3 linked regions of the Astyanax mexicanus genome follow. Each later gene encodes a partner of the first gene's protein in a complex. Links are inferred from orthologs where the notes say so. Each region holds a gene or a part of one and is shown on either strand. Other genes may lie near its edges.

Region 1 (7,325 bases):
CACTGTGTTTTAACACTGTATGTACAGCTCTGGAAAAACATAACACCGCTTAAAAATGATGAGTTTCTTTGATTTTACCAAATTAAAAACCTCTGGAATATAATCAAGAGGAAGATGGATGATCACAAGCCATCAAACCAAACTGAACTGCTTGAATTTTTGCACCAGGAGTGGCATAAAGTTATCCAAAAGCAGTGTGAAACACTGGTGGAGGAGAACATGCCAAGATGCATGAAAACTGTGATTAAAAACCAGGGTTATTCCAGCAAATATTGATTTCTGAACTCTTGTTTATTGCATTATTTGAGGTCTGAAAGCTCTGCATCTTTTTTATTATTTCAGCTATTTGTAATTTTCTGCATTTTCTTGTTCAAGGTTTATAGAATAAAACAAATGTTAATTTTACTCAAATATTTACCTATAAATAGCAAAATTAGATAAACTGATTCATGAAATGAAGTGGTCTTTTTTACAGAGCTGTATATAAATGAGCTTTCGTCTGATTGGTTCTGTATTTTGTTCTTGATTTAAAAAGCAGTGCTAGATTAAAATCTTAAACGTTTCAAAATAAATGGGAGGGTGTGGACTGCTCTATCAAATGTTCCGATTTTTGAGACATCAGAAAATAAATGAGTTAAAAAAAATAAATACTGTTTTGATAAGGTCCCTTTAAAAGGTTTATCTCACCTGGCACATGAAGCAAGTCCCCCAGCCTCCGGCCAAACTCATTAGCACACTCCACACACTCCTCCATGCTGGCGTTCTGTACCGGGATAAAAGGACACACGTCCATGGCCCCTGTCCGAGGATGCTCACCTGCACATTCAAACATGGACAGATTTCTAAAAGGTTACATATCATAACAGACATGATTCATTTTTACACAATATGTTTTTTATCTCACTTTAACCCTTGCCATTGCACAGGCTTACTTGTTTTATTATTGTTATAATAACTCCATATCTTAATGAAGATCAAATGTTCAGATTATTAAATGTTTTTAAAGACATAGGTTTTATTGGGTGTCCCAATTTGGCTCTGCTCTGATTGGTTACTATGCACTGCATTGTGCCTTGTTTTGAAACCACTCCAAAAGGGCCAAAGCTCACTTAAAATAAAAAATTTGATGCATTTAATCACAGAATGGTTTTTATTTTGCCTCAGTCTATTTTGAATTAGCTTTGGTCATAAGATGGCAGCAGTACTGGCATTCATTGCATGATACAGCTTTAACATGCATTTTTAGACTGTCTGCCTTGTCCCTTGGGTACAGGGATTTATCCAAATACTCTGAAACTTTTGGTTATATTTTGATATTATGGTGAAGATGATCTGATATCTGTCCATCTTTACTTAACCAAAAGAGACTATATAAAATGCCTTTTTTATACCCAGCCCTGTAAGTTACAGTAGTTGCAAATTGCTCCTAATGCAGATGTTTTTTATTAGTACCATTAGCACCACTTTCTGCTTTTTGATGTGCTGCCCAAACTTTTTTGAGATGTGTTTCTGAAATCAAACTCTAAATGAGTTCATGTATTTCATTAAATCGTAAGTGTCATACTTTCAGTGTCTTAAAATGTGTTCTGTGTTCTATTGTGAATAAAATATGGTTAAAATAGATTTGAAAATAATTACATTCTGTTTTTATTTACAATTGTTTTTATATTTTACACAATGTCCCAGCTTTAGTGAAAGCACTATTATTTGCATGGTGATTTCTAATAAAGATGTGAGTGTTAACTGTACCTGTGTGTTTGCTCATGTCAATGATGGTGAAGGCGGTTCGAGCAGCGTTCAGGGCTCCCTCCACCACAGCCTGTGGGGGGCCCACGAATGTGTAGACCGTCCTGTTGGTGGACGAGCCGGGGTCCACGTCCAGCAGACTGCAGCCCTCAGTGGCCGAGATGGCATCAGCTATGGCATTGATTACCTGGTAAAGAGAATTAATAAAGTTAGTATGGGTTCTCCTGGTCTGTGACAGTCAATAATGGTCAGAATCTGCTTTTACCTCCTTATTTCGTCCCTCTGAGAAGTTCGGCACACACTCGATTAGCTTAGCCATGGCTGTGAGAGGTAAGACACACAGACTGAAGCGGCTCCACCACTGGGTCCTCGACGGATCTATAGAGAGTTAAGTTAGTGCTCCTCTAGAATGATTAACCCGCCCCACTGGGCCTTATCTGGGTCAGCAGCCAATGATTGGCCTGTCACTTCAGATAACACACAAGTCTGTCATATTCACTCAGTCACAGACATTCACTATATTGCCAAAAGTATTCGCCATCCTAATCCAAATCATTAATCTCAGGTCAAGCCTTGCATCACCAAAACTCAATTGCCACCATAAAATAAACACCAACATTGGGCTTTCACATATTGGCCTCTTTATTAAAAACATCCTCCTTCTGTTTCATTTTACTAATAATACGCTTTCAGAATCTATTTCTTAGCTATCTTTGCCTCATTGTATTTTCCAGTAAATTGTCTCCTATGACCTTTCAGCACTTAGCATTAGCTAGCCTTGTAGCTTATGTGCAAAATGTAAAAAAATTCTAATTTTAGACACCAAACATGTCTTGTCTGCTTGGCTACAATGGGGTAAACAATGTTACATGCCAGTTGTACACATGAACCACTCACTGTGTACAAAACTGTTAACGGACCTTCTGGACCTACTGGTCAAACACATCAAGAGATGAAGCCAAGTTTAATATTTGGCCCAAGAGTTTCATAACATCCCAAAAGCAAACAGAAGGTGGCTAGGTTGCAGTAAATAATTGATTCATCAGAGAACCAAAACCTGGTAGGGGGTGTAGCAAACAGAAAACAGCTACAAAACATCTGATCAAATGGGTCCATTTTTGGATACATGTCTGATTAAGGCAATAATATTGAAAATGAAAGCTAGCATCTCCATACCAATTTCATCAACAATGCACTTGTAATATTATAGTAATAATAGATGGTCAGATATCAAAAGTCTACATTTTCCTAGTTTTTCACAGATTGGTGAACCGCTGTCTATCTTTACTTCTTTTACTGCCTATCTAAAATTCACTTTTTATACCCAGCTCTGTGAGTTAGTTGCAAATTGCTCCTATTTTAGCTGTTTTTATTAGTACCTCTAACTTTTTCTGGCTTTTGATGCCCTGTCCCAACTTTTTGAAGTTTCTTTGCTGCCATCACACACTAAATAAGTTAGTATTTTTCTTGAAATGGTAAATTGTCTTACTTTCAACATCTGAAATGTGTGCTTTGTTTTACTGTGAATTAAATGTGGTTCTGTTAGATTTGCACATTTTTTGCATTCTGTATTTTTTACACAACGTTGTGTAATATTCAAACTTAGACCATCCGATACCAGCTACCAGCAAAAGCTGGTGTCGAGCTGGTATTTTAAAGGAGAACTCTGATGTGAAATGGGGTGTTGGGGTGTTGTGAAACATTGTTTGTGAGTACAAAACTTTGGTCAAATAGTCCACGTCCGAAATGCAGCAACAGGCGTACGATGGAAGCAATAGCAGTATTCATGCAAATAAATCTCTATTTTTACACCATTAACAAGCTCAAAGCAGATTGGTAGAATTCTATGAGCCCTGACAGTGTTAAAATTGAGATTTCTTTACACGGACAACTCTATGCCCCTATCACTAGCATTGTAAGCCTGTTGACATAATTTGTACTTATCATGTTTCACTTGGGTTACAACCCAAGTCCATTCTCCACAGGATTACACAGGATTCTCCTTTAAGCAGAAAAAAAATAAGAGGAAAATTATGAGGAAAAATGATTATCCAAAAGCAGTGTGTAAGACTGGTGGAGGAGAACATGCTAAGATGCATGAAAACTGTAATTAAAAACCAGGGTTATTCCACCAAATATTGATTTCTGAACTCGTAAAACTTTATGAATATAAACTTGTTTTCTTTGCATTATTTGTGGTCTGAAAATTTTGCAACATTTTTGTTATTTTATCCGTTTCTCATTTTCTGCATCTAAATGACAAAATTTTTATTTGGAATTTTGGAGAAATATTGTCCGTAGTTTATAGAATAAAACAACAATGTTAATTTTACTGAAACATATTCCTATAAATAGCAAATATACAATCTAGAATATGAATTGGTTTCCACTCATCATAAATCATCATACATTAATCTCAGTTTGCCTTTACATATCAGTAGAAATGTAAGTATCCACTGATATCCTATAGTATCTGGATCGGTATCTCGGTATCTCCACAGGGCTCCCTCTGCTGGATCTGGAGCTTCCTCAGACTGGATGTCTGAGTCTGCAGGCGTGAGTGTGGACGGTGGAGCAGACTGTGAATGTCTGATGTGAATTCTGAGGGATTTCTGTGTATTTTGGGCTGAAGAAGGATCTCCACGGCTGCCGAAAGACTGAACACAGCCCTTCCGAATATGCTGGCCACAGGAGCGGTAAGTTAAATGCGCGGTTCTGCTCTGATTTTAACTTTAATATTAACCTCCATTCATCAGCTAACCTAAAACTCACTGCGCGGCCTGCTAGCCGGAGCGGCTAATTGCGCTAAAGAGCTTCACAACTTCACTCTTATGTAGCTATATATTACAGAGATTCAGCCCCGTATCTAATTTATCTGCAGCCTTGAGCCTTTGTGAGATTTAAATTAATTAATTGAAATAATAAAAACTGGACGCCTTTTAAATTGGTCATTACGGTCGAATGCTAATGCTAACGAAGTAGCGTTGCCTGTTAGCCTGAGCTAGCTCGCTAGCTAGAACGGGTGTTGGACGTATTAACACTAGTTAGCTAAGCTATGCTAGCTATCTAGTTAGATGCAAATTATAGCGAATATTAGCTAATGTTTTTATTACAGATATTCACAAATCTCCGATGTTTATATCGTAATATTTCGTCCTGTAGCTGGCATTAGCTTCCTTAAAGTTTGAATGGCACGGTTGCTATCTAATGTTAGCTTAGCTATCTTAGCTAGTACGCTGGTTAAGTTAGCTGCTAACGCTAACTAGAAAGTTGTTTAGCTAGCAAATTTACAGTTCTTAGTTTAGCTAATAAACTCAAATTGAGTAAAACTGGTAAAGTAAAAAAAGTTAAAATGAAGAAGTAAGTTAAACTCAACTGGAATTAAGCTACGAAATAAGTGCTTATATAACAGTTAGCTATCTAAAATAATCCTTGGTTGATAGCAGTAGCTGAAGTTTGGCTAACGGTCGTGTCTGTGAGTTTGGGAAGAGTTGAGGCTGACAGTTTAAAGTTATTAATTATTAGTCTTATGATTTATAATTCGGTATATAAGCAGTAAATAGATCTGATAAAGTAGTCTTATTAAAACATTAGCAATAGCTTACACAAAGAAGTACAACTGAGTACTAATGTATTACTCCATTACAGTAAACATGCTAAAGGGTTTTACTTGTTCAATTGTGCCAGTTACCTGCGTAAGTAGAGCTGGGAGGTTAAGTAAATTAATTTGATTAAACTAAATACTGTTTTAATGCAATTTTTAAATGGGGTAATTGAGACTGTAAATTTAAATGTAACTGTTTACATGTAGGAGGTGCCAGAGGATATCTCAGTAGAACGATATTTGCTTCTTTTAGAAACTAGGGTTACTGTAAAACAGTGTCTCTCAAACTGTATTACGGCCATCCTAAGGTTGTAAAGCACTACAATCTATGAAGTTTCCAATATAGTTTTCCTAACATTACATTAGTTAGTTTTGATTGCTTTCCCAGTTAGAACCTGTGTGTGAGCTACATCTCAGTCATACACTCTCAGAGCAACAGTTTTAATAATAATATCACTTTCATTAGCCCTAGAGTACAACCCTGAGGAACACCACAAGATATGCTCTATCAAATATTCCGTCTGAGATGTTTCTGTAGGGTTACTGTAGTAACCAGAACCAATTATCTTAACAACTTACATATAAAGTCACACTCTTGACATATGTCATTATCCCTAAGGGGTAGAATCAAATGAGTTGATCAACTGAGGGTGTAGGTGATTTTACTACAGGTGGTCAGGCAGCATTGAGGTGATCATTTAAGCAATGGAAGGTGATTATATGCAATTCCAAATTGTTAGTCTAGCGAATAATTGCTGTTATTATTATTATTCTAATTATTACCATTAACCATGGTAATTATTAATTAATTTATTCTCATCATTCTTACCACTGATGATTATATCAGTACACCTGAGCACAACAACAGGCAGATGTGATGGTACAGTGACTTTATATGTGTAATTTTATAATTGGTAAATTTTGCCTTCTGCTTCCCCTGTGGAGGTTTTATATTTGTGTTTGATATTTTGTCCTGCTGCTGATGTGTGTAAAGCTGCTTTGTTGCAACATTAGTTGTAAACAGTGCTGTTTCAGTTTCACTTGCTACCTGGATATTATGAGATATTGTGAGGGATTTCTACTCACTGTATAAAATTGTATGGGATTTTTGTCTACTAGGTTTGGGTAATACTATTATGATGATGCTAAATAATGGAGCAATTCCAGTACTAATAATTTAAAAAAATCTTAAGAATTGATGGTCATAAGGAAACGCCTGATTAACATTTGTGCGTTTTTTATCCAAGGCTGTAAGCACGGCGCTGGCGCAGGTGGACCGTGAGAAGATCTATCAGTGGATCAATGAGCTCTCGAGCCCTGAGACGCGGGAGAATGCACTTCTTGAGCTCAGCAAGAAACGGGAATCGGTGACTGATCTGGCTCCAATGCTCTGGCACTCCTGTGGGACCATTGCTGCACTCCTTCAGGTAAAAACTAGAAACTTCATAAGTACAGCATAACCAAAAATTACACATTCCTACTATTATCTTTTTGATAACATAATATAAAGCAGTATTGTAACAGAGTCTCCCAACACAGTGTCTGATGAATGTTTTTTCATGTGTTTTTATTTTAACAGGAGATAGTGAACATCTACCCCTCCATTAACCCTCCCACGCTTACAGCCCATCAGTCCAACAGAGTGTGCAATGCCTTAGCACTTCTGCAATGTGTGGCCTCGCATGTGGAGACACGGTAAATGCTGCAAACCCACTCTGATTTACAATTAATACAGTTTGGAGACTAAATTGTCTGCATGTTCCTTAATTTAAACTTTTCTTTTATCCCTCCAGCTCTGCGTTCCTGGCAGCGCACATCCCTCTGTTTCTGTACCCTTTCCTACACACCGTTAGTAAAACGAGACCCTTTGAATACCTTCGCCTCACCAGCCTTGGAGTCATTGGTAGGTTAATTTTGCTTTACAACTGAGAACATCCACAGATACTGGGGTTGTGATTTAAGCAGAATCTTATAG
Region 2 (7,133 bases), on another chromosome or scaffold:
AACATTGTTTTTTTTATTCTATAAACTTCTGACAACATTTCTCTCAAATTCCAAAATAAAAATATTGTCGTTTAGAGCATTTATTTGCCGAAAATATGAAATGGCTGAAATAACAAAAAAAAGCAGAGCTTTCAGACCTTTATATTTATATTCATTACGTTTTATTAAGAGTTCAGAAATCAGTATTTGGTGGAATAACCCTGGTTTTTAATCATAGTTATTATGCATCTTGGCATGTTCTCCTCCACCAGTCTTACACACTGCTTTTGGATAACTTTATGCCTTTACTCCTGGTGTAAAAATTCAAGCAGTTCAGTTTGGTTTGATGGCTTGTGATCATCCATCTTCCTCTTGATTATATTCCAGAGGTTTTAAGTTTTTACAGAGCTGTATTTAGTTATGGTAGTATATTCTTTACAATAATAATTGGACAACAGCAGTGAGGGTTTCAGTGCAGAGGTAACAGACCCCACACATATTTGGACTGCTGTCTCTGTTGCCATTATAATAAAAGGCTTGTGTCGCAACCACTCAGTATTTCTAAGGACATGACCAAACATATATTTTGTTATGGTAATATATTCTTAAAAATACTTATACATTTTTCAGAATTTTGCCATACCATATCATACCAAGAAAATTGTTCTCACAAAAATACACTAAAATATTGTAATATCATGTTATGGCCTTATCGTCCACCCCTAAAGGGAATTCAGTATTTTTTCTTAGGTTGCAGTGATTTGAAGCTTTTTGTTAAACGACTGAATTGTGTGTCTTGTTGCAGAAACTCGCTGCCCTGGGTAAAGAGCAGGTGAACGGTGTGTGTGTGAATAAGCATACAGTTAATCAGAGCCAGGCTCTCTGGGCTCAGCCAGCACACATAAGCCTGGCCAACACGCCTCAGGATTACAACGAAGGAATTTTAGGGAGCAGTCCTAAAGATTGGTCCCTCCAGCAGAAGGAGACTGAGAGCACGGGGCTCGGCCTGTTTGGAGTCACTCCAAAAACCTCAGACCCCGACAACAGCGATCAGGAGTCCGGAGTGGCCGACTTCAGCGGTCACTCCTCCAGCGGCGGGGATTCATTTCCGAGTGAAGACAGTGTAAAGGACGCTGATTTAGATGAAGCTGCTTTTAATACTGTCTAAAAACGTGATCTATAATAAATGAAAGCCATAGCATTCCCATTGGGGCCTGTGCAATCATGCTACATACTACATGCTCCATTTCAAATGCATAAACATGCATAATCAAATGTATTTATTGTTGCCGGTGTAACAAAGGGAAGTGTTGATTTATTTATTACAATATTTATGACATTATTTCATTTTGTATGTGCATGAAATGATTTGCAGTTGTAAACCCGCATGTCACAGCGTAGCAACATGCATTTTAGTGATGTGTGACACAGATGTGTGATATGTGTGGCAGTGTAAACAGAAAAAACACACTGAATCTGATATTATTATTTCCAAGATCAGAATTCATGCAATTTTTACATAAAGGAAAAGGAAAAAAGAGCTGTGAGGACAAAGGAAAATGGACAACAGCATTGAGTAAGGGGTTTCAGTTGTGAGGACAAGACCTCACAAAAGTTTGGACTGATGTCTCTGTTCCCATAATACTAAACACGTGTCACAACCTCCCAGTCTTTCAAAGGACATTCCCAATGAGCCAAAGAGTTTCAATGGTTCTTTAAGTGAACATTCCCTAGTTAGAAAGAACAGCACAAGTACAATTATGTCAGTCTGCAACTGTGCTGTGTTGGTGAATCTGTGCTCACTGCAGCCTCAGCTTTCTGTTCTTGGCTGACAAAAGTGGAAATATTTTTCGTTTTACAGAATGGTTATCTGGGTTATTCTTAATAACTCAATAACTGGCAAAGTAATATCGAATGGGTGCATTAATTGACAAAGTGGCGAACAACAAATTGAGTTAAAATTTTCCGTATGCAAATTAATTTCAACAAGATAAAGCGATATTCACAATAGCCTGACAATTTTTTTCATAAGCCCTATCCAGACGGGATTCGTTTTTCAGGGGGTCCTGGGGTAATTTTCTCTTTTGATTTTTTTCTCTGTGATTTTTTCCCCCCGGAATGACTGTATGTGGTTTTCTCAGACGTCCTCTGATACAATTACAGTCAGAATTACCTGTTTTTGCTGAACTCCGGTAATTTTAGTCCCGTCCGGATGCACATCTCTGAGTTTCGTCACCTCTCATTTAATAAACTAGTTGAGTATAAGTGTGAAATATTTTTTCACAGATGTCCCCTGAGAAGCGAATCCCGTCCAGATAGGTCTATACATGCTCTTCTATCTGAACATTTGGTTCTGACCAGCATTTCATTCTTATTTTTTTACAATGTTTTTCTGAACAGGAAAGAAAATCATAGTTGTTTCTCATTTCCCCTTGTTATGATGCAAATCTGCACATTTACAGGGACAGTCTGAAGAAAAATAAAATAAAGCGAGAGAGAAATTAGCAGATACTGTTGGTTTCTCTGGTTGGTTGGTCAGTTGATACGTAGCTTGCTAGATTAGCCAGCATGTTAACAAACTATACTAACACCTGTTAACACCCACACACAACAACACAAGCTGCCTCAAACACACCCAAAAGAGACCAACTTGGGGCAGCGTGAGCGACTTGTTCTTTGCCAGTGTGAATACAGGATTATGGTAGCCAGGGTTATGGTAGCCTTTCTGTCGTCTTGAACCATCTTGAACCAGCATTCTCTGTTGACCTCTCTCATCAGTTTTTTTTTTTTTTTTCTCACAGCTCATAATCTATGATCATAGGCCAAAGATGCTTCACTTCACACCATAACAACCTACAGTCTGAACACACACTATAAAAGTATTACTGAGAACAAAAGAATAATAAATAATAAAGACAATATATGAGCAGCATATTATAAAGCACACTAGATGGTCATTGTGGAAACTGCTGGAACTTATCTTCACACTGGTTTATTCAGATGATGTTGGGCATTAATTCTCTCATATACAGTAATTGAAAATATGCATGAAAAAATGCAGTGTAAGCATTATATACATTTCCCTGTGGATGCTGAGAGGTAACTCTCTGTTCTCACACTTACATTACTAGTGCAATTGTACCTAAACAATAAATAAAAATAAATAAAGTTTACATGTGACCTCACCCTCTTTGGTTAGGCATTTGTTTATTTCTATTATATATATATTGGGAAACTGCAAACATATACACTACCAGTCAAAAGTTTTAGAACACCCCCATATTTTCCCTGTATTTTTGCCATTTAAACTGGCAGGGCCTTTAAGAAAAACAAATTAACAAATATACATATAAATATATATATATTGCAAAAGCATATTTTTAAAAAAAAATTTACCAGACAATTGATTGGTTAACAGCTCACAGCTCTTATTAACTGAGCTTTGAAAATGTCAATTTAGAAATCCTTTGTCTGTAGTAAAGTCATTATTTTGAGATACTATGTCATTATGTTTAAATACTACGTTGTAATTATGAGCTGCTACCTTTTTATTTTGAGAAACTAAGTCATTACTTTGAGATACTAGCATATTTTCATATAAACACGTAGTATCTCTTAATTGTGACTTAATATTTTAAAATAAAAACATAGAATGTTAAAATAAAGACTTAATATCTGAAAATAATGACTTAATAATTCAAAATAATGACTTAGGATCAAACATTATAAACATGATGTCACCTTAGGGGCTCCGTACCTTTTTCGCAGCCCCTGATGTATGGAAGCCCATTCCCGCCACCTAAACAAATGGGCTTCCACACTGATGTGATGTGACATTATGTAAAAAATATATATATATTAAAAAAAATAAAATAAAATGTGTGGCCCTAAGAGGTGGCCATGGCTTCTTACAGAGTGGGAACAGAATAATTAAGTCCTGGCAATATCCTCTCCAGGCACTCCCTTAATTAACTAGGGTTGTAGCCACGCAATAGGATCTCGTTCTAACGCTTTAATAAGACGTGGCCACGCATTATTATTATATATATATTTTTCCATCCTAAAGCTGCTGCACCGTTTTATACCCCTGTTTGAAGCCGCGCCGCTGCTGGACTGACTCCAGACTCCGTGACGCTCCAAGGTCAGTGGCGCTCGTATCCCGGTGTCGTCACGCGGTGCGCGGCGGCGGCGGCGGCGGGTTGTAATGGAGCCCGAGGGGCGGCAGCTGGCTGCTGATGTCGGGGTTAGATTAATAAACTGTGTGGCGGGTTTGGTGGAGCTGAGACCCCAGTGTTGGTGAGAGTGTGAGCGGGACAGCCGCGTGCTGCTGAAGCAGCCAGTGCATATGAGTGTACTATAATAGAGGAGAGAGAGAAAGAGAGAGGGAGAGAGGGAGGTAAGTAAGTGACTGAGAGAGAGAGAGAGAGAGAGAGAGAGAGAGAGAGAGAGAGAGAGAGAGAGAGAGAGAGAGAGAGAGAGAGAGAGAGAGAGGGGGAGAGCTGGAGAAGACCTGCAGCACAAAGTTAAGGGGCTACAGCTAGTTAGCTAGCTGCTGTGTGGGGCTAACAGCTCCTATTAGGATTCGCTAGCATGCAGGAGGGAGCCTCGTTAGCTTAGTTTAGCTTAGCAAGCCGGTGTCTAACGTGACAGATATAATATACCAACACCAGGCTGTCCTGCTGCACAGCTTTCTGACTGGCAGGCAGGTGTCAGGTTCTGTCGGCTGTTTGTTTGTGGGTGTAGTTTGGTGTGGCAGCTAGCCTAGCCTAGCCTGTGGCTGTTAGCTTAGCTAGGTTAGCTGCCTTTAGGTAACAGTTAGTCACCTGGTTTGTTTGGGGGCGGTAGCTTATCTTTGTGTTAACTAGCTGTTTAAATATGTGTTTGTTAGCTCACTAGCTTTTTGGTAGCTTTGTTCTGTGGTCATAATAATCTGGTTTAGGTTGATATGAGGTAGATAAATTAAGCTACAAGGTAAGTTAGCTAACTAGTTAGTTAACTAGCTAGATAACTATTTAACTGGTTAGTTTTTCGTTTGTTAAATGACTAACTAGTTAGTTAATCTAACTATTTGACTATTAACCTAACTCATTTTTAGTAGCTAGGCTTTTATTATTAGCTAGCTGTTTAAACCTATATAAGTTAGCTGTTTAAGTAACTTATGTGTATGTTAGATGGCTAGATTAGATAGCCTTGTTTTGTGTTAGTTAGCAAACAAAAGTAACTGCTTTCTGGTTAGACAACACAGACCATAATGATCTGATTTTAGGTTGGTCCGAGGTAGATAGATTCAGCTGCAAGGTTAACTTAAATTGTCAGCTAGTTAATTAACTAGTTGGTTACTAAACTACCTAGCAGGTAAGCCATACCATACTTGGCTAACCAACCTAGTAAACTTAATTCTTATTTAAGTTGCAGTAAAGTAGGGCTAGGCGATTTGATAAACACATTACTTTAGTTATGTCACTGTATTTACAAATAAGCCCTTTTTTCAATACACAATATTTATCTTGATATAATCACATAATCCCAGTAAAAATTTGGGATGCACCAATATGGGAACTTTGGGTAACTAAGCTTTGTGTTTAGATCCAATTATTAGCTAGCTGTTTAAATGAGGTACTAGATTCATTAGCCAGGTACTAGGTTCAGATGAGGTCATGGTATGGCTTACGTGCTAGCTAGTTAGGTTAATTTACTAGCTAGTTATTTAGCAAAGAAAAATAACTGCTTTCTTGCTATGGTATGAAGTAGATAAATTCAGCTGCAAGTTAGTTACCTAACTAACAGACTTACTAACTACATAACTAGCTAATTAACTAGTTAGTTAACCTAAATGACTAGGTAGTTAGTTGACTATACAGTTAACTAACTAACTCGTTAACTAGTTTATAACCCTAAATGACTAGCTAGTTAATTGACTACATGGTTAGCTAACTAACTTACCAACTAGTTAGTTAACCTAAGGGCACTAAAGGGCACCCAGGTCATTTGTTGTGTCGCATTCTGTGCTATAAATGTGAATGGACAGATAGAGTATTCCGCTCACTATTTCTTTTGACTGAAGGTTGTATCTAGCATATTGTAAGTTAGCATTCAGTGTCACACTTTTGCTCATTTTCTAAAAGTCTAATATATGTCCTCCTTTTTTGCACAGGTGTAAATAAAGAATTAGACCCAAAATTCTACGAAATTGTCCCCAAGGGAGCATTTGTTTCATTTTTTGATGCCTTCCATTTGAAAGTGGCACTATGCCCGCAGCCACTGTGGATCATAGCCAAAGAATATGTGAGGTGTGGGCTAGTAACCTGGATGAGGAGCTGAAGAGGATTCGGCAGGTCATCCGAAAATACAGTTACATTGCAATGGTGAGCCTTGTTTTGTTTCGCCATATACCATTTACTTAAAATCTGCAGTGTTTCAGTTAATCTGATTTGTTAATTTTCTGTGTTTGTAGGACACAGAGTTTCCAGGTGTAGTTGCGAGGCCGATTGGAGAGTTTAGAAGCAATGCAGACTATCAGTACCAGTTACTGCGGTGTAACGTTGATTTGTTAAAGATTATCCAGCTTGGCCTTACCTTTATGAATGAACAAGGGGAGTATCCCCCAGGAACTTCAACATGGCAGTTTAACTTCAAATTTAACCTCACGTAAGTGCAGTATTTCTTGTGTGAATATACTACACTTTAATTCAATGTCTTGTCATATTGCCAAGAGTATTGGTATTGTGAAAATACCCTACCAATATCATGATAATATTGAGGTAAAGATGTGAACAGAAAAAGTGTAAAACAAACTGAAATATGGTTTATACTTTAGATTCTTCAAAGTAACACTTTTTGCTTTGATGCATGCTTTCCCCACTCTTGGCATTATTCTCTCAGTCAGCTTCATGAGGTAGAGCCTTGAATGGTTCTCCAACTGTCTTAAAGGAGTTGCTAGAGGTGCTGAGCTCTTGATAACTGCTTTTTACTTCCCTCTGTGCTCCAACTCGTCCCAAACCACTTGGGTAGTATATCTGGTTCTTATATCAGGTGTTTGAGAAGGATGAACACTTTTGTTTTGTCTAGTAATAGTTATTAATCATAAATATTAATCTACAATGAAGTAAATAATACAAGTAAAGAACATTTATTAATGAGAATGTGTGTCCAAT
Region 3 (6,920 bases), on another chromosome or scaffold:
GTTTCTGCCAGAGTGTCAGGCGCGAAGAACTGTCCGATTCGAAAGTTCTGAAACACACGTCGGTGACAACTGAAGGAGAACGGCGGCAGATATCCATCCAGATATTGCTAATAAACTCAGTAGGCCAAAAAGAACATGAGAAAAAGCAGATTTTAAATAATAATTTCAGTTGTTCGAGACAAAAAGGTCACTATTACTCTTCTACAATAATACAGCCATGTTGAAGTACTTTGAGTACATGCATGTATTTCCTGTCACAGCAATATGGTTTAAATCAAGACTTTAACTAGGCCACTATTGCAGGATTTTCTGGTAGACTAACAGAATTGTTTTGTTCTGTTAATTATGGCAATTCACCAAGGATACAGATCAAACTACCACCCCAATGTTTTGCATAATTAGAGATACAGTTCCTTATATGCTCTTGGTGATCTTGTGTGTGTTCAGCCACTTTTGAGATGATTCACAACTGTTTTTCAAGTTTTCTTAGTAAAACCTTTTCGAACAATATAATAATAATAAAAAAACTTCCAGTATTTCTGTTGATCCCTGTATCATGTGTTGTTTGTTGAGACATTTTATCTCCATATACGTAATTCAAATTACTGTGATTTATATTTATTACTGTAAATTATGTTTAAATTCAACAGAGGTGGCTTAAATGCATGAATTGTCTGATTGATTAACCTGTAAACATTTTTAGCTGTTCCCATTTAAAAATATTTTATGCCTTAGTCTTAAATTGAATTTAGTTTAAAGTTTCCAATAATTAAGCATGCATAACACGCAAAACAAAACAAGGAATCAGGAAATACCCTTTCCTGGCTCTGTAATAGTAGACTTGTATTGTCAGTGGATTAGACACACATGTAGGAACTAGGCAGAATTTAAACATGTCAGTGTTTACTTAAGATTATCACATAAAATTGAAAATGAAAATGAAAGTCTTGAGTGTGTGAACCCACACATCATTGCAGCAGAAGAGGCACAAAACATACAGTGATATGCATTAATGTACTCACTGTCATACATACAAATATTACACACTGCACTATTAACAGTCGAAACTGTAATACATTGTACATACAGCCTATTCAGTGAAATTAAAACCCTGAGTATATAGTATACTATAGACAATACAGAGATGGTCTGATGTCACCTGCAGTAAAACCAGAGATGTCACTCTACTGAAAGAAAGACATCAGTATTCAACTTGCTGTCATCACTCTGTAGCTGCCAGCCAGTTGGGCGTCTGTGTGGTTATTTGGCAGAGCGGAGAGCTTCTGTCAAGAGCTTATGATGTTGATGCTCTGCCAGCAGAATTGTACAATGAAGAAAGTGTGTACTAGTCTTTACACCATTGTTGTTGATAAATGGCTATGACTGAGTTCATATTTACAGAACTTACATAATGGAAACCTGAATTAAAAAAGTCTAGAGTTTGGAGAAGAAAAAAAAAAAACTCATACATTATCGATGAAAGTCAACTGCCAAATTCTACCATTATCAATGTCACATAATAAATGTTAATATAAATATTGAAATAAATATAATAAACTTTTTTTCCACATACAGTGACGTCTATATTGTTTGGGACATATTTTTGGGATTATAAAATCAAATGTATGGACTATCATTAAGAAGAAACAGTGCACTGCTCAGTTTTTATTCTTAAAGGGACTAGTAGGCCAAGGAAGAACTCCACTGATAAAATCTTTACTAATCTTCAGAAAAATCTTTAATTGTCTATCTGACAGGTCAAAAACAACCTTGAGGAGTTGGTTGTGTATTTGTCAGATACTATTTGTAGAAGGTTTCATGAACAAAATTACAAAGGTGGCCAATTTAAAGTTTGCAAAACCACTGTCTTAGAGACTTAACAGAGAAGATTCTCCGCATAAGTTATAGTCTGTAATATAAGTATAAGCATAAGTATAATAGTCTGTGAATTACAGACTACAGATAGTGATTGCATGCAGTGGATATAAAACATTATACTTAAAATGACTGTATCATACTTGTTATGGCTATGCGCCAAACATGATATGGTTATCTTAAATGATGGTGACTGTGTAAATGTATGCAAATACCCTTAAGCTGAAGTGTGGTATGACTACTATAATCACTTATGGTCGGTTTGATGTGATATTTATATTAAATTGGAGCAGAGGGCATGCTTATGCATATTTGATCACAGATGTTGCATCTGGGCCTGTAGATTCTGCCCACTCATCCACTGATGAAGTAAGTGCAAGAAACACATAATTGTTGAAAATCTGTTGATCAAACAGGCCAAGTGTTGCAACTGGCGAAGACATTTCTGGGAAAAACTTGCTGTGTGTGAGTGAGCATTGTCTTACTACTAGGTGTGACTGACTGTCACAGTTATACCCTCTTGTGGCAAGACTAACACTGAGTTCCATTTACCCGGGATATTCGGCTATTGTGAACGTTGGATTCTAAACTCAAGGTTGGCGAGGCTCCCCCAACTTTTTTGAGTAGGAAATCTGACCTGTAGGAGCGTTCAAGTTAAGATTTCCGGAAACTAGGAAAACTAGGAAATTCCAGCTTCCCAGTTCTAGGCATAAACATGATTTACAAATCTGTCTGAGACATAATTAAATGCCAAGTTTTCCAGCAATCCAGGGTGTTCATTTTTGTCAATCAGTTTACATACATAACATTTAAGGCACATGTACAGATGAATCTTAAAAAGGTTTTATTTGTTCAGTAAATACACATATAAATACACATATAAATATATAAATATAAATATATATAAATATAATATACAAATATAAATAAACATAAATAAATACATAAATAACATAACATAATTACATAACATAACATAATATCATAAATGTGCTTATTAAACATTTCTTTTGTTTTTTTGCACTTTCTTAAAAATGACAAGATATGGCTTCTATTTACTTTATTTCCTTCAAAAGGACAAATGATTTGTTACTATTTTATTTGTAAAAGGTACAAATAAACATAAATAACTCTTCTTTTATAACTTCTATTTATGTTTAATTGTACCTTTTACAAGCAAACTCTTATCGCAGAGATAAATGGCCTAAAAGCTATAACAAGTTTACATACATTTACATATAATTGTCTTTGGCTACTTTCATTTAATTTTTATTAAATAAGTATGGACAAAAATAAATAAAACATAAATACAATATATATCTATGTGTAAAATGATTTAAAACAAAGAAACAACATGAACAGGCCTCAGCTAAAAATAATTTAGTTAGAGGAACTAATACTGAAAATGTTATATAGTAACAACTGTAACTTATGTTTTGTTAGTTTAGGCCACTATGTCCAATATTCTTGCTATGAAAGACTAGTATAAATCAGTCAAACAGGGTATCTTGTGGGGGGAATACTGATGCTGGCCCAGGAAGTCAGGTTAACTAGAGATATGGAATAGCTCATTTAGTGCATTATAACGTTTATACAGAAGCTAAAATGTGAACAGTAATGTCGTGATTATAATTACTGAAGAACCTGAATATAGTAAAATAAGTGATAATTTAAGGCCCATAATAATAATAATAATAATAATAATATTAATGTAAAGCAGTGAGGGCTGCTGTAGAGGCCAGAGCAGGGTCAGGGGGTAAAGGCTGTTCACCCAGGATTCTCGGCTGCAGGATACACAGCCATCTTGGGTCTACGAGGAGAGGGGAAATTAATGCGGTTAGTGGATTTCTTCATTTATTAACAAAAAACACCACTCCGCGCGGCCCGCCTCGAACACAACACGAAAACAGAGCTGTAGCGTCGGAGGGTTTTCAACCTCGCATGTAGGTTGAGCTCGAACTCGCGGAGAGATGGCTTTACACGGACTCGTACGTCTCTGTGTTTTTGTCCGAGCTAGCTGCGTTAGCACCAGCCTGATACCTGAAGCTAAAGGGCTTAGATAGAGATGCGGGTTGGAGCGGAGCAGGAGGCGCAGTGGCCTAGCTAAACTACACCGCCTCCACCGAACACAGCCGGATAGACTTTGTTAAGCTAGCTCTAGCTTTATCTGTAGCTGTGTTACGAGCTAAAGGCTAGTGCTCCATCCGGTAAATAATTAAAAGAAACTGTTGTGCCGCGACTTGAAACGCGATCCACGGTCTAATCTGGAGTCTGGTTTAGCCTGCTGTGTTGTGGACGAAGCCGTGTTTTGTCAGTATCGTCAGCCGCTGTTCAGATGTTTTTTTTTTATTATGTAGACTGAGCAACTTTAGCTCGGTAGCTAACTAGCTTAGCTATCTACCTGCTGTTGGATTTGTAAGCTAGCTAGGTTTAGCTAGTTAGCTAACTAGCTAATAAGCTATCGGGTTGGTTGAATCCATAACCATCAATAGCTCCCAATGTAATTCTCTGACGCTAGTTAGCTTGTTCGTAACGCTATTTTAACCAACTAGGCAGGTTAGCTAGTTAGCTAACTAGCTAGCTTAAGAAGCTATCGTGTTGGTTGGATTCATATCCATCAATAGCTTCCCATTTAATTTTCTGACGTTAGTTAGCTAAGCCAACTAAGCTAACGAGCAGTCTGTTCATACCGCTATTTTAACTAGCAAGGTTAGCTAACCCTATATAACTAACGTTAATTCGTTAGCCCGGCTAGATAACTAACTTAGCTAGCGTTATTTAAGAATCCGGAGTAAAATATTGTGGATTTGTTTTTTGTTTTTTAACAAACTAATGTAGTTAGCTAATTCATTTTTGCAAACTTGAAAGCAATATCTAACGATACAACACCGTAAAAGAAAAAAATACGAGCTTCTGTCTGTACCGAAAGAGTTTGCCCAGCTAGTTAGCGTTAGCTAGCTTAGCTGGCTAACACGATTATAAGCCGTAGTCCAGAGTTAGATGTGTTCTGGATGTATACTGGGTAGCTTAGCTAGCGGTTAGCTCGTTACTGTGTTTAAAGCAGCAGGTCTCTGTGCTTTTAGCTTGATCCTTTTTAGGTTATATCGTTAACACGCGGATCGTCTAGCTAGTTAACCACTTTATAATGTATCACACACGTTTGCAGCTTAATATTAGCTAGCTATACATAAGTTATCTGTCAGTGCCAAACTGTCAAGGTAGCTATTAACAAGAGTAGCAAGTGTTAATGTAAACAATGGAAGTGATGAGCAGTGTAATTATTCTCATTGCTTTTGACTTTGTTTATTCTTTAGTGCCTGTTCGCTCTGAAGCTTGTTTTGTGTGATTTATTTGGACCTTTTTACTTTTTTCTTGTGTGGTCACATGGAACTCATGCGCTCAGATCTCTTTCACAACAGCCATAATAATCTTAACACTGGCAGAAAAGCTCTGAATGCTTTTATTGACAATATTGTGTAGCTTTGGGGCCTGTTTTACTGATCTGAGTTAAACTTGGTCCTGAGCAGGAAGTATTAAGAAGCTCTGGGTTTCACAGAGCTTTACAAGTTTACTCCCAGACTAATCTTTAAACAAAAAAAATATATTTTTGTTTAAAGATCCTGTATTTTTTTAAATAACTGAGTTAAATCATAAAATACATCTTATGTTAGTATGAGTTTTACAACTTAGTCCAGTAAAGGTTTAGTAAATGTAAAAAGCAAGTTTCTTGTTTTCTACTTAAAGTGGTCTCTAGAACATCTCTGATCAAATCCAGTTATTCTGGCTTTCCTTTTAACCTTCTAAAACTATTGTTTTTTCTCAGGTGACGAACGGAATGTTCAGTGCTACAAGAAAGAAGTTTGAGGGGGTCGAAAGCGACTACCCAGATGAGAGCATGTACTATGGTCAGCCTTCGATGTTTCCTCATCGAACAGAGAAAGATGTAAGAGCAAAAGTTACATGCCTTCAGTTGACAAGTTACAAAAAAAAATACAATTTGTGCAGCACAAATGTAGGAAAATGAAAGAGTTTGTAAATCTTGCAGATGCTGGCATCTCCCTCACCATCGTCGTCAGGTCAATTGTCGCAGCTTGGTGCAAGTTTGTATGGTCCACAAAGTGAGTACATTTCTCTAAATTTGCTTGTATTGTGTTGCAGTTTTTAAGACCACTCATTAAATATAAAAATGTTTTATATATGATTTTTCTGGTGTGATTCTTGTAGGTGCACTAGGCTTCTCAATAAGGGGCATGAACAACAACAACCCTCAGTTAAACCGGAGTTTAACACAAGGTACTCAGTTACCGAGCCATAACACCCCAACAACGGGCGTCCCAACGATGTCCCTCCATACCCCACCTTCGCCGAACAGGTAGGCCTATGACTTTGCCTGCTTTCAAAGTTTTATCCAACGTTTCCTGTTATGTTTCTTGTTTGTTCTCTGTGAACAGTGTGGGGATGCCCCATATACCTGATTTACATTCTCTTTTGATTTGCAGGGGAATTCTTCCCATGAATACCAGGAACATTATGAATCACTCGCAGGTGGGTCAGGGCATGAGCATGAGTGGCAGGACCAACAGTATGGGCAGTTCGGGCCTTGGCAGCCCCAACCGCAGCTCTCCCAGCATCATCTGCATGCCAAAGCAGCAACCAGCACGACAGCAACCTTTCACCATCAACAGGTACAATGTCTGTTCCTAACGGCATAACTCAAAGTCCAGGCTGGCATGTATTGGCACCTATGATAACTTAATGCATTTATTAAGGAGGCTGTTAATGATTTAAGTATTGCTGTGTATTAAAAAAAACTTGACACACTCAGTGAGCATATGTGCCTGGACCAGTGGGCTGCCATTCCTGTGGCAACTGGAGAGCAGTGAGGACTAAGGGCCTTTCTCAAAGGCCCAACAGTGTTAGCTTGCTGAAACCACAACCTTGTTATCGTTAGCTCTCTAACTGCTAAGCCACCACAACCTAAGTAGCCACAGTAGTGTGTGGTGGTGGTGGCTGTGGCCGTGGCCAACGGTATAAATGGGATCAAG

Evidence for each region. Proteins that work in one complex are often made in the same cells at the same time.
Region 2: cnot9 (region 1) and cnot7 share a complex: the UniProt entries of both Homo sapiens proteins name them as parts of the CCR4-NOT complex. The link is inferred for Astyanax mexicanus from reciprocal best matches to the Homo sapiens genes CNOT9 and CNOT7.
Region 3: cnot9 (region 1) and cnot2 share a complex: the UniProt entries of both Homo sapiens proteins name them as parts of the CCR4-NOT complex. The link is inferred for Astyanax mexicanus from reciprocal best matches to the Homo sapiens genes CNOT9 and CNOT2.

Annotation. Positions count from the first base shown.
Region 1 is NC_064430.1:21,133,246-21,140,570, forward strand, and holds the start of cnot9 (CCR4-NOT transcription complex subunit 9), read left to right. Parts: upstream 1-4,258; 5' UTR 4,259-4,424; coding exon 4,425-4,442; intron 4,443-6,597; coding exon 6,598-6,777; intron 6,778-6,929; coding exon 6,930-7,045; intron 7,046-7,143; coding exon 7,144-7,253; intron 7,254-7,325. Other genes in the region: ftcd (formimidoyltransferase-cyclodeaminase), read right to left, coding at 688-816, 1,750-1,933, 2,012-2,065. UniProt on the Homo sapiens protein: Component of the CCR4-NOT complex which is one of the major cellular mRNA deadenylases and is linked to various cellular processes including bulk mRNA degradation, miRNA-mediated repression, translational repression during translational initiation and general transcription regulation.
Region 2 is NC_064417.1:45,486,870-45,494,002, forward strand, and holds the start of cnot7 (CCR4-NOT transcription complex subunit 7), read left to right. Parts: upstream 1-4,043; 5' UTR 4,044-4,120; intron 4,121-4,151; exon of another isoform or gene 4,152-4,375; intron 4,376-4,688; exon of another isoform or gene 4,689-4,950; intron 4,951-4,977; exon of another isoform or gene 4,978-6,133; 5' UTR 6,134-6,227; coding exon 6,228-6,344; intron 6,345-6,433; coding exon 6,434-6,627; intron 6,628-7,133. Other genes in the region: mtmr7a (myotubularin-related protein 7a), read left to right, coding at 785-1,147. UniProt on the Homo sapiens protein: Has 3'-5' poly(A) exoribonuclease activity for synthetic poly(A) RNA substrate. Its function seems to be partially redundant with that of CNOT8.
Region 3 is NC_064409.1:54,388,565-54,395,484, reverse strand, and holds the start of cnot2 (CCR4-NOT transcription complex subunit 2), read left to right. Parts: upstream 1-3,830; 5' UTR 3,831-3,845; coding exon 3,846-3,863; intron 3,864-5,698; coding exon 5,699-5,818; intron 5,819-5,920; coding exon 5,921-5,993; intron 5,994-6,099; coding exon 6,100-6,247; intron 6,248-6,374; coding exon 6,375-6,560; intron 6,561-6,920. UniProt on the Homo sapiens protein: Component of the CCR4-NOT complex which is one of the major cellular mRNA deadenylases and is linked to various cellular processes including bulk mRNA degradation, miRNA-mediated repression, translational repression during translational initiation and general transcription regulation.